Sus scrofa: one gene and its partners. The protein of the gene in region 1 interacts with the protein of each later gene in a pairwise test. Links are inferred from orthologs where the notes say so. Each region holds a gene or a part of one and is shown on either strand. Other genes may lie near its edges.

Evidence for each region.
Region 2: the proteins of JUNB (region 1) and BATF2 interact in binary tests that used the Homo sapiens proteins (3 or more experiments, as listed by UniProt). The link is inferred for Sus scrofa from reciprocal best matches to the Homo sapiens genes JUNB and BATF2.
Region 3: the proteins of JUNB (region 1) and BATF interact in binary tests that used the Homo sapiens proteins (3 or more experiments, as listed by UniProt). The link is inferred for Sus scrofa from reciprocal best matches to the Homo sapiens genes JUNB and BATF.

The regions. Positions count from the first base shown.
Region 1 is NC_010444.4:66,216,511-66,220,925, forward strand, and holds the start of JUNB (transcription factor jun-B), read right to left. Parts: upstream 2,926-4,415; 5' UTR 1-2,925. UniProt on the Homo sapiens protein: Transcription factor involved in regulating gene activity following the primary growth factor response. Binds to the DNA sequence 5'-TGA[GC]TCA-3'.
Region 2 is NC_010444.4:7,178,774-7,182,862, forward strand, and holds the start of BATF2 (basic leucine zipper transcriptional factor ATF-like 2), read left to right. Parts: upstream 1-1,245; 5' UTR 1,246-1,664; coding exon 1,665-1,703; intron 1,704-3,287; coding exon 3,288-3,461; intron 3,462-4,089.
Region 3 is NC_010449.5:98,668,960-98,673,054, reverse strand, and holds the start of BATF (basic leucine zipper transcriptional factor ATF-like), read right to left. Parts: upstream 2,845-4,095; 5' UTR 2,635-2,844; coding exon 2,572-2,634; intron 278-2,571; coding exon 173-277; intron 1-172. UniProt on the Homo sapiens protein: AP-1 family transcription factor that controls the differentiation of lineage-specific cells in the immune system: specifically mediates the differentiation of T-helper 17 cells (Th17), follicular T-helper cells (TfH), CD8(+) dendritic cells and class-switch recombination (CSR) in B-cells.

The sequences.
Region 1 (4,415 bases):
GATAAGAGATCAAAAGGGTACACGGGAGCGGGTGGAGGACCGGTTGTGCAAAAAATTAGTAGGGGTCTTGGGATCCATGAGACTGAGAGCCCCCTACATGGGAAGAGTAAGGAACTGGGGGGACCCAGATAAGCAGAAAAAGTGAGGGTTCTGGGGTACACTGAGTCAAGGAAAATATGTGGGGTAGAAGACTGGGACGTTGTCAGAGGCTAGGGGTCATTGGGGTCAACTGCGAAGCCCCGATGAAAAAGAATTAGAAGGGTCGGGGCACCCCCTCGGAGCTGGGATGACACTAAGGGAGGGGCCCTGGCTGAAACATGGGAGGAAGGGTCTTTGAGGATCCAGGATACCTGGACTGCTAGATCTTCCATGATGGGCGCCCCCTCTCGTGAGTGACCTCTAAGTTCCAGTATACTCTCTCCCCACCCCCAAAGCCCTCCCCCAGTGATCCTCGGCTTGACCGACACCGTGAAGACTCCTGGTGCCTGGACCCAGCCTGACGGCCGGGGCGCGGTCGCCCAACCCCACTCTTCCTTAGAAACAGGCTGGGGAAAGAGCGCCGCGGCAGGAAGTGTGGCAACAGCCCCGGGGGAAGGAGCCGGGCCCTGCCTCCGTCACTCGAATCCTACGGGACCATATGCCCCGCCCTGGGTCCAGCCGGGTCCTGCGCCTCGGAAGAGGAACCTGGGCTTGCGACCCCCGAGGAAGTCAGAGCGAGCGGAACACACCCAACCGCAGAGGTCCCCAGTCATCGACCCCCACCCCTGCAGTGGTTCAGCCCTAGTGTCGTAAAGGCTAGCAATCCGGGGACGGTTCCATTAGCCGGACGGAGGGGGACGCGCCGGGGAGCGGGGCCTGGTCGCCAAGGCAACAGGCCGGAGTCCGCAGGCAGGACTGGGGGCGGGGCGGCCCCCGGAGTCTCTCTCTGACGCCCATATAAGGGCACAGGAAGGGGTGGGGTCAGCACTGTCCCGGGGCCCCCGGCCAGGAGCCGGGAGCCCGAGTATCTGCCAGGTCCCAGGGCGCGCCCGGGCCCCCAGACGGCTAGTCCCGACCAGCCCCGACCGCCGCCCCCGGGGCCCCCACGGCCTCCTGGCCCAGCCCCACCCAGCCGCTCTGGGGCCGCGTCCTGCCAGGCCCTGCCCAGCCCGACCCAGCCTGGCAGGTCCGCGCCTGCCCGCGGGCCTGGGTCGGACTTCGCCCCCGGCCCGATGGGCGCAGAAGGGGCGCGCCAATGCCTCTGGGCGACCCCGGCGCCTGGGCGGGCGGGCACGACGGCCTCCTACCTCATGCTGGGTGCCCTTACTTTCTGCCAGGAGATCTGGGGTCCTTCCCCAAATACATCCCTAGGGGCTGGGGTGCTTCCTCCTTCACTCACGTGGGTGAGAGGCCCTACTCCTATTTTAGTGTGAGGGTCTCCTCACCATCCAGAATACCCAAAGGGGGATCCACACTCCCTCATCTGAGGGCTCCCTTCCCCTGCTGACAGAGAGGACCTGAAAATCCATGAGTCGAATCTGAGGGAACCTCTCCAGAGCCTCTTCCCCAAAATGGGTGAAGGTTTAGATGCTGAGGCTTTAGTTATACTTAAGGTGGGACTTCCAGGAGGTAGGCTATGAGCCACTAGAACCAGAGATGAGCCTCTCAGTATCTGTCTCCTCTCTGTCTTGAAAGAGACATGTCTATCTTTTGGAAACATGGAAGTTTCTTTAGGGTAGACTTAGGCTGAGGGAGAGGAGATAGCCAGCCTTTGTAGGGCAGACACAGCTCACCAAGTGTGGAGGAGAGAAGGAAAACGAAAGAGGCGAAAGAGAAACTGAGCTATGTGGGGGCAGGGGGAAGTCCAGCAGAGCCGGTGGTGGTGTTGGGGAGGAAGGTCCCATGAGAAGCTGGGGGTGTCCCCATCTTTGGAGGGTCCTTGTGACCTCTGGGTACCCCCTCCCCTCCTCCTTTGCTTGAACTGCTCCCCTCCCCCTCCCCAGGCTCAAGGGAGATTCCAGTGGCCGCTGAGTCTGGCAGGCATGCTGCCAGGCCTGTGTCTCCCGCCCATGCTAATAACTGCAGCTGACATCTGGCTGGGCCCTGCGGGGGCGCAACGGGGTAGTGTTGGGGGGCTGGGCAGGTCTGGTTGGAGGGCAGCATCTCAGGAGGCTAACCTGCAGGTCCCACAGGCTAGGAGTACACAGTGAGTCATCCCTGACCAGTGCTGAAGCTGGCTGTGCCAGGGGAGCCTTGGAGAGAGGCAAGACTGGCCCATGAGCGTAGAGATGGAGGGCAAGGCCTGAGCAAGGAAAAGTGGATGTATGGGGGTGGGGGTCAGGGCAGGGAGAGATGCAAGATTAGAGTCATGCAAACTCAGAGACTCTTGAGACAGGCCAACAGACTGAGAAATAATAATTATTATTTTAATAGCTAACACTTATATGGCTCTTACCATGGGCCAGGCACTCTTCTAAGTGGTTTACATGGAATAACTCATTGCCTGTTTCCAACAATCCAGCGAAATGCATGCTCTTTGTATCCCCATTTAACAGACTAAAAAACTTAGGAACAGAAAGGTAAGGAACTTTGCCCCATGTCACATAGCTATAAGCACTGGAATTGATCTAGAACTTGAGATGTCTGACTCCAGAATTTCAGCTCTTTTTGTGTGGATAATCACAACTAGAGAGGCATTTATGCAGTGCCAGCTGTTTGTCAAGTTCTGCAGGCCCTTTCAAGAAGAGTCTCCTGGAATTCCTATAGAGACTTAGCAGAAAAGAACCCGACTAGTATCCATGAGGATGTCCAGAGTTGCCCTGTGCTGTAGCGTAGGTCGCAGAAGTGGCTCGGAGCCGGCATCGCTGTGACTGTGGTGTAGGCCGGCCGGCAGTTGTAGCTCTGATTCGACCCCTAGCCTGGGAACGTCCATATGCCACACCTGGGTCCCGAAAAAGAAAGAGAAAAAAAAAAGGTCTCCTTTATCCTTTAGACAAACAGGGTTGGGCACAGGGCAGAGGGGTGCTAGTGTGTTTGGGGGCAGGCCGGCATGTTGGAGTGGGGTCGGGTCACTCTCTGCACTCTGCACGGGTGTTTGAGCAGGGGGTGGGGATGGGCCAGTGAGGGAGGGCGGGGGCCCAGCTGAGCTGGTACAGCCGGTTCCAGGCCCCTGCCAGTCTCACCCTTGTGGCCTGGGCACCACCCCCTCACGCCGTCCCACTGGCGCCAAGGCTGGCCCAGAGAGGAGAGCCCCCTCCTCCATCAGCCCTGGGTGCCCAGACTAGCAGCTGGGGACTGCCCAGGCCCTGGGTTCCAGACCAGCATCTGCCCAAGGAGTCTGTGTCCAGGCTTCCCTCATGCCCAGGGCCCGGGGGCCTAGGGGACTGGATAAGGAGGAAGTTCTCCCACCCCCACCCACAGGTCTCTCTGGGGCTTTTGGCCTTGGCAGGAGGGACTTCTCCTTCTTATAAATAGCCTGGTGACACCCCCCCACCCCCCCCCCCACACACACAGCCGGCTCCACTGGCTGGCAGGGCCCTTAATAGAAAACTGGGCTGGGGGCTGCTGGTGAGTCAGCCAGTGGGCAGGCCAGGGCGAGAACCCGCAAGTCACAGCACCCAGACTCCCTCGTCCCTGCCCCTGGGTGTGGACAGGCAGCTGGCAGGAAAAGGCTGAGAATCACGGAGGCCCTCCCCCCAGGAACCCTGGCTTGCCAGCAGCTTCCCTACCCAATCTCTGTGGTTTGGGGGGTCCCTCACCCCTCTCCTGGAGAGGAAGCTGCTCAGTTTTCTTGGAAGCAGGAAGGAGAGGAGAGTTTGTCTCCTCAGGCTGACTCAGCTGGGCACGAGGGGAGTTTCCCACAAAGCTGTTTCTGTCACCCCCCCTCCATGCTGCTGGTGAAGTCTTGGGGGGCCTGAGCCTGGCTGAGATCCTGGGTACCTCATTTTCAGGGGATGTGCTGAGAAAATAGGCCCACACCCTATGAAAGCCTGAGGCTGTTGAACTGGGCCTCCTAGGGGAAGTGACAAACAGTGTGGGGGGTGACAATGTTGGAGAGAGGAAGCACCAGGATTTCTGGGTGGGGTTAGAGATATGGGCTGGGAAGCCCAGAGCCTCACAGCACCTAAGCAAGGTCCAAGGGCGCATGTGTGTCTGGTTGGCTGTGGGTTTGTGTGTGGCTGGCCTGTCAGGGCCTGTGATAGTGTGTGTGAGGCATCTTCTCAGGGTATGTGTCTGTTTGTTGGCCCAGCCCCACAGGGGTGTGTAGGGCCTGTCTGGTTTGGGTGGGGGTGAGGGGGGGAAGGTGTGTGTGTTTGTGTGTGTGTATGATCTATGGAATAGGTTGCATGTGGCTGGCCTAGATGCACAAGTATAGGTTGTTTTGGAGTTCATATGGCTAACCTGTTTGTGTCTGGTGTGTGTCTGTGTATGTGAGG
Region 2 (4,089 bases), about 59 Mb from region 1:
TGTCCCCTTCGGTCCATCTCCACCTCCAGCCCCGCCCCTGTGTCACCACTCTCTGACTTTTGTGTCTCTCATTCCCATGCATATTTTTATACTTTTTTTTTTTTTTTTGTCTTTTTGCTATTTCTTGGGCTGCTCCCGTGGCATATGGAGATTCCCAGGCTAGGGGTCTAATCGGAGCCATAGCCACCAGCCTTCACCGGGGCCACAGCAACGCGTGATCCGAACCGCGTCTGCAACCTGCACCACAGCTCATGGCAACGCCTGATCGTCAACCCACTGAGCAAGGGCAGGGACCGAACCCACAACCTCATGGTTCCTAGTTGGATTCGTTAACCACTGCGCCACAACGGGAACTCCATATTTTTATACTTTTATTACATAATTCCGTATCCACATTATCCAGCCTTTCAGAAATTATGTTGCTCAGATCCTGTTGCAGCTTGTCATTTTCATGCCATTGGATGTTACGAACTTTTAGGCATGAGGCTAAGTGCAGCTTTGGCTCTTTCACCGTATCATAATTGTGAATATTTGTTGAGCCCTTATTCTGCACCAGGCATGGTTTCCGGTACCTTACCTGCCTTAACAATTTTGTTGTGCCTTACCTAACCTTCACAACAAAATATTTTACAGATTTGGAAACAGAGGCATAGAAAGGCGAAAGTCTATACCCTTGGAAACTGTGCTCTTAGCCGCTAGACACCACCCTCTCTACTGCTGTGGGGTCTGTGGTATGAAAATACAGTCGTTTATCCATCTGTTCTCCTGTTTAAGGGCCATTGCTTTTTCTTTTTTCACTTTTTGGGGCTGCATCTGCAGCATATGGAGGTTCCCAGGCTAGGGGTCCAATCAGAGCTACAGCTGCTGGCCTGGGCCACAGCCGCAGCAACGCAGGATCCGTGCTGCATCTGCAAACCTACACCACAGCTCACGGCAATGCCAGATCCTTAACCCACTGAGCAGAGGCCAGGGATCGAACCCGCAATCTCATGGTTCCTGGTCGGATTCATTTCCACTGCGCCACAATGGGAACTCCAAGGGCCATTGCTTATTTTTGCAGACGCACCTCCACACTGGTCTCACCAGGTTTGAGGGTGGTTGTATTATCTTGCTTAAGTTCCTGCCTGTAAATAAATATCTATATCATCTCCCTTTATAGATGAGGAAATTATGGCTCAGAAAGGGTAAGTCACTTTCCCAAAGCTGCACAGCTCCAAAATGCCAGAGGTGGGCTGTGAACCTGGGTTCCTGCAATTGTAGAGCCCAGGGGTTTGCCCATATCCCATGTGACCCTCGGTCCCCCCTTGGCTTCTCCTCTCGGCTCTGTCCCTGGCAGCCTGCTCTCCCTCTTCCAGAACACCTTCCCCGCACCTGGCCTTCAGGCCCCCTCCTCTGGCCACCCTCCACCGTCCTCCTCCCAGAGAAGGGGCCCAACCGGAAGGCCAGTTCATGTTAGGAAATTCCAGCCACGTGAGCCAAGCCAAGCCCGGGATTCTGAGCAGCCGGTGGCTTTAGGAGAAACTGAAACTTGGCTCGCTGGGGGCGGGGTGGCCACTGGGGATTTAAAGAGCTGCCACTTCCTTGGGCCCCCAGAGGGCACGGGGAGGTCACAGCAGCCGAGGGCCACCCTGAACCGGGTGTGAGCCTCTGTTTTCCCTCCAAACATGCACCTCTGCAGAGGCGACGAGCTGCTGACTGGGATGGTGAGTACAGGGGACGGGATTCAGGAGAGGAGAAGGGGAATAGGCCCCAGGGCGCCCGGTGCCAGTTTGGTTCACATGGGCTCACCCCCGCCCCCCGACCCTGCCGGCCTCAGTTTCCTCGGAGCATCCTTGGAATGAGGGTTTACCTGCTCTCCCATTGCAGATCCAGCCTCCAGTCCAGAGCCCGGCCTCTGGTTACTGCTCTCTCCTAACCTACCTGTTCTTTCATTGCCATAATGGGAGACTTCTCTGGCCATGGTTCTGGTGGAGGCCTTGCCCCTCTCCCGGGACCCAGGTACCAGAGTCCCACCTGCTTCTCTCACTGCAGGTCTTTCCCCGGGGTTCCTGTCTTTTGGCCCCAGCACCTGGAAGGGATCTGCTGTGGCCATGAACCTGGAAGCAGAGTCCTCAGCCAGGGAGGCCAGGGTCTTGCCTGAGATTTCTGCACTCAGAACTTGCAGAAATCAGAGTGATCTGTGGGAGGGGGGTTGGGCTGTGGGGTCCCCAGCGTTTCCTCTTGTCTGACCTTCCAGAACCCTGGGTGTTTGGGTCAAATATTTCATCTAAGCTTCATGAACCCCAGTGTAGGGGGACGGTCATGGCTGTGAACCTCTGAGGCCACAGTTCTGTCAGAAGGGACTCCATTCATTCATTCATTAAAGGCTACTTGTCCTACTAGAATGCGAGCAACTTGGGGCAGGAATTTTTTTTCTCTGTGGTTTGCTGCTCTGTCCCCATAGCTCAGTGCATGGCACCTAGTAGGTGCTCAAAAAATATTTGTTGGATAAATGAACTTCAGTTGTGGGCCTGAGCTGGCCACGGGCACTTGGAACCCAATCAGAATGCAGACCTGCTCTCACAGACGAAGCTCAAGGCTAGAGAAATCAACACCTTGACTGTGGAAATAATAGCTATTGGAACAACGGCCGCCTTGTATTAACCCTGGTCCGTGGGCTGGCCTTGGGCTGTCTGCCTTACGACGCTTGAGGAAGGTACTGGTCTTCCCTTGTGCAGATGAGGCAGCTGGACACAGGGAAGGCCTGCCCAGGGCAACAGGGCTGATAAAGAGAGTGTGGGTGTGAGTTCCTGTGGTGGCTCATTGGTTAACGAACCTGACTTGTATCCATGAGGACCTGGGTTTGATCCCTGGCCTTGCTCAGTGGGTTAAGGATCCAGCATTGCCAGGAGCTGTGGTGTAGGTCACAGACGTGGCTTGGATTCCAAGTGGCTGTGGCTGTAGCTCCAATTGGACCCCTAGCCTGGGACCCTCCATGTGCCATGGGTGCGGCCCTAAAAAGAAAAAAAAAAAAAAAGAGTGTGGGTGTGAAGTCAGTTCTGTCTGGGTTTGAATCCCAGACTCTCATCTTGTGCTGCCCCAACGTGAGCTGTGAGTAGGACATGTGGGTGACTGGGACTCCACCCAGGGGTGCTGTGTGTGCGATGGGGTGTGTGGACACCGAGGGAGCCAGAGATGGCTTCTGGGAGAAAGGGGACCCTCAGGGACTTAACTCAAGAAGGGTGTATGGCTTTACAGCCCGCCAGCCCCTGTAGGGACCCCTGAGCCCTCTGCCTCTCACCTTACAGGACTCTGAGGAGCATCAGAGACAGCTGAAGAAGAAACAGAAGAACCGGGTGGCCGCCCAGAGAAGCCGGCAGAAGCACACGAACAAAGCGGATGCCTTGCACCAGGTGGGGATGCTTCCCTTCCCATCCCTGACGTCACGTGCCTGGCCCGGCCACCTCTTCTCCATCCGGCCTGTGAGCAGTTCCACCTCCGCTGCTGTGTGTGCCGGGGGTGGGGCAGGGGGGCTGCAGCTGTGATTTGGAAATTCCTGAGTGTTGAGTGGAAGCCGTGCTCCAGATACACACTGGGCTCCAGGGGCACAGCAGGGCATCCTCAGCCTGGGCCTGCCCTCGAGGCAGTCTCCCATCTAGGGGGAGGAAAAGGGAAGGAGGGGCAAACAGGGAGAATCCCGTGGGGACCAGCTGGGGAGCTCGTTAAAATGCAGACCCCTGGAGTTCCCGTTGTGGCGCAGTGGTTAACGAATCCGACTAGGAACCATGAGGTTGCGGGTTCGGTCCCTGCCCTTGCTCAGTGGGTTAACGATCCGGCGTTGCCGTGAGCTGTGGTGTAGGTTGCAGACGCGGCTCGGATCCCGCGTTGCTGTGGCTCTGGTGTAGGCCGGTGGCTACAGCTCCGATTCGACCCCTAGCCTGGGAACCTCCATATGCCGTGGGAGCGGCCCAAGAAATAGCAACAACAACAACAACAAAAAAAAGACAAAAATGCAGACCCCTGATCCCTCCCCACCCACCTGAGGAGGCTGGAATGGGGTCTGGGGGCTACACTGTGATGACCACTCTGCCCGTCGGGGTTCTGATGTGG
Region 3 (4,095 bases), on another chromosome or scaffold:
AGCTCCCAGGAGAGCCTCCACTCCCCTACTCACCCGTAGCCCTCACCCCTCCATTTACTGCTCCGCATATACATCCCCACACAGGCAGACTCAAAGCTATGGTCCAGGCATTCACAGGTGGTGGGAATAAAGCCTGCAGTTCAGGAGGGGGAAGAGAGGTCTGAGCACTCACCAGATGGAGGGTGTCAGCTTTCTGTGTCTGCCTCTGCCGGCTTTTCTGGGCAGCAATGCGATTTTTCTCCCTTCTCTGAACTTTTCTCACATCATCGGATGAGTCCTGGGAAGCAGAGACGATGAGAATTAGGTGTTACCTCCTCTCTCCAGAGCTGAAGCAGGATCTCACAGGGCTTGCTCTCTGGCCATTCTCCCTTCCATCTCTTCCTCTATCTTTGCGCACTATTTATTTACCAAAAGGGTGAACCCCAGAGAGAATGCTTCCCCACACTCTGTTACACTCTCTTAAGTCTCTATAACTTTTTTGGCCAAAACTTACAGGAAGAGGGCAAAAGAGTTTGACACCTCTATAGGGCTATTTGGAGAGAGATGGTTAAGGCGATGAAGTGTGTTTTATCACCTCTCCTCTTCAGGGCTGCTCCACCCTTACCCTCTCACTTTTGGCCTAGAACCCTTTTGCTATTTTTTTCCCCCAAAACTTTGTTGAGTACTTACTATGTGCCAGCTTCAGGGCAAGTGTGTTTGCTCAAAGGTGCTCTTGTTCAATCCCCCAATTCTGTGAAGTTGATATGATTATTTCCATCTTATATGTGCCGGAGACTGAGGCTCAAAGAGCTTGCCCAAGAGTTCACAGTCATCTGGTAGTTAGAGCCTCCAATGCTGAGTCTGAGGCCTGTCCAAGCCACCCCCCGCAACTCCAGCTACCACCATCTCGCTGATTTGTACATCATGTGTCTTCTGCTGCATCCCTGGGCTGAGGTCCCCATCCTAGATCTGCCTCTTCTTTCTCCGAATCCCCTCCATTATGTCCAGGGACCCCGATATCGCCCATGGCGCTGAGCACAGTGCCTGGTACAAACTGGAGGCCATGAACAGCTTTGCTGGTGGAGATTACCTGGCCGTGGCAGGTAGCGGATGGGTGTTTAGGAGGACAAGGGGACCTTTGGGTGTTTTCTAAGTGCACCCCATAGAGGGGCATGTGCTTTGCTTGGGCAGAGAGGTTAGCTCTGGCTTTCTCCCAGATGCTGCAGGATAAGTGTAGGGGTCTGTGTGAAACTTCTGCACCTCCTGCCCCATCCCCGCTCACGTTCCCCAAGACCAGAGCGGCACTGCTAGGGCAAGACTCTGCCCACCAAGCATATGTCTCACCAATAGGCCCAGTACTTCCAGGCCATTGCAGTTGGAGGGCATTGGGTAGATAGGAAGGAAGTGCTCTTCCTCTAAGGGGGATGGGGAACCAGGTTACCATGGAAGCCATGAGTAATTTCCTTCCTAAGAAGAGCATAGACTTCCAGGCAGTCTGAACAGCTCTGATAGCATCTAGAGCAGAGGACTGGATCGCTTGTCCTCTAGAGGTCTCCACTAGGACTCCTTCCTGCAGGTGGCTTCTCAAGATATTGATGACAGAAGCTGCAGTATATGTTCATATACTTTTATTCAGGCTGCAGCATTTTGAAAGCTCTCTTGGATATCTGTGCTAAGGAAAGAATGCAGTTTTCAAACCACAAAGTCAGAGAAGAAATTATACTCCACTGATGTATTGGATGGGAAAGAAGAGGGCTTCCTCTAGGGAGGACTGTCAAGGAATGTGGTGAACAGAAAGCCCCAGGAGCAACCGGGAAGCCAGGACGCCCTGGTTCTTTGGCAAATTCCAAGCTGAAAACTTCTGAGTTAGAAGTTGCCATCTAGACTCCAGACGCTCCCGGAATCTCCACCTTCATCTCTCTGCTTTCCCCAGAGCTGAGCTGAGCTACCAGGGAACGGCTCCAAGTGCCCTGAAGCATCTCTTGATTCATTTCCTCCCCCTCCCCTGGCGCCCTCTCTGCCGCCTGCGCTAGCAACAGGTGCCGTGCAGGGTGGAAAAGATAGATCCTTCTGTGCTGGTTCGGGGGGCCGCCCTCCTCCTGGAGGTGGAGGGGAGGAGGGGTGGGAATCGCTTTTCTTTCTTGTTCCTTTTCCCGATCCCTTCCTCTCTCACCCTGCAGGCTGTCTCCCAGGCAACCATCTAGCATTCGCGGTGTGCGCGCCCCGCAGCCCGCGTTTAACGCTCCTCCTCTCACTCTGCTACTGCCTTGGAGAGAGGTAGACTCTTCTGAGAGGCCAGGTCTTTGGCGCTCATTCTCTTCCTCCTGGCTTCCTAGAAAGCTTCATGGGCTGGGAAGCTAGCGAGGTGGAGGCGATGGGCTTTGGCGGGGGAACGGGGCGGGGAGGGGGGGCATCATTTGGCAGGAGAGGCAGAAGGACGAGGGTCTCTGCCGAGATGAGATGCACAGCTTCAGGGCAGATCTCCGTGTCTTAAGTCTCAGAGAGTGCTCCTGCCACCAGCCATCCCCTCGCCTCTCCCTCTGTCCTCCGGGGAGAATCGGAGGGGAGGAGGAGCGGGAGGCAGGACCCTACCTGTTTGCTGGGGGGTGGAGAGCGGCTGAAGCTGGAGTCGCTGCTGTCGGAGCTGTGAGGCATGGCTGTGATCTTCCGGGCTGTCCACGCAGCCCCACGGGCCTCCGGGCTCTCCTGTCACCAGCCGGCCTCCCTTCCTGATTGCTTCGGGGCCACGAGCCCACCCCCCTTCGCAGGGCCCTCCTCTGCCCGCCTTGCAGCCACCTCTGACCCCGGCGTCCTCCTCACTCTGGGGTGCAGAGGCTCTGCTCCCCACAGGGACATGTCGCTTGCTTTGGGGCTCGCGCCCTCTCTCTCTCTTGTGGTTTCTGGTAACTCGCGCTGGAAGTCACATGGGCGGAAACTTAAACAAGTTAGAAGTCAATTTGAGAGAAAATACATATCTGGGAAAAGACCCACAGAATTATGTGAAAGAAAGAAAAAAAAAATACACAAAACCCCAGATACCTTCCGACAGTTTGAAAGGCAGAATAGCTCTCTTCAATTGATGAAGATAAAAGAGAAAAACAGCCCTGGGAGGGAAAAACCCCAGCCAGAATTAGCAAGTCCGTCTTCTGTCAACACAGGCAGAAAGGAGAGGACAGCAGGGAAAGAGTTTCCATTGTCACCAGACTTGATTTTTAAATCAAAATAAAGCAGCGGGGCTGGGATTTCTTTCTGTTGTTCCCTGAAAGCAGCTGCTGGTTCTGCCCTGTGCCAGGCCTTCCTCTCTCGCCCTGTGGTCCAGCCTGCCCTGGAGTGGACTGGGGGCAAAGGGGCCCAAGGCCACGGTCCCTTCCTGACTATCAGACAGAAGAGGCTGTGGTGGGTCTGAAAGCCAGAGGGGATGGCCTGGAATTGATGCTCTAAACGTTTACTCATCACCTGTGCCTCTTGGCAGGTGCTCTCTTTAGAAAAAAGACACCTCCTATATTGAAGGTCTTACAGGGGCTCGGGATTGGCCTGAGATCTTAATGATTCAAGAAGGTCACAAGGCCAGAGTCCAGAATGGAAAAACAGTTAAAAAAAAAAAAAAGGCAAAAGGAACAAACAAAAAATACAGTGAAATGAGCACTGTACTTGGAGTCAAAATAACCAAGATTTGACTCCTGCCTCTACCACGTAATGTGTCTGTGGCTTTGGGTGGCTCACTTGAACTCTGTGCCCCTCAGTGTCTCTGTCTGTGAATGGAGGATTATAAAACCTGTCCTGCCTCCCTCTGAGGGCTGTTTCGAAAAGCAAATAAACCCATGGATTAGAAGGCCCCAGAAGACTGTAAAATACCATGAAGTCAGCTGTTCATTGTGGTGTTACTTTACTCGCCTGTCAGGGGCACGTTTGTAGAGTTCTCAGTGAGCAGTCTCTCACACACACCTGGCCATCCTGGCTTTTTTTTTTTAAAAAAAAATGCCTTGCCTTATTCCCAGCATGGCTCAAAACTCAATACTTACCTTCCTTGGTCCTGACGGGCAGAAAATATGGCCCATAAGGGATGTTGTGTCCACTGGCTGAATTTCTGCCCTAAGACACTATTGTCCTAAGGAT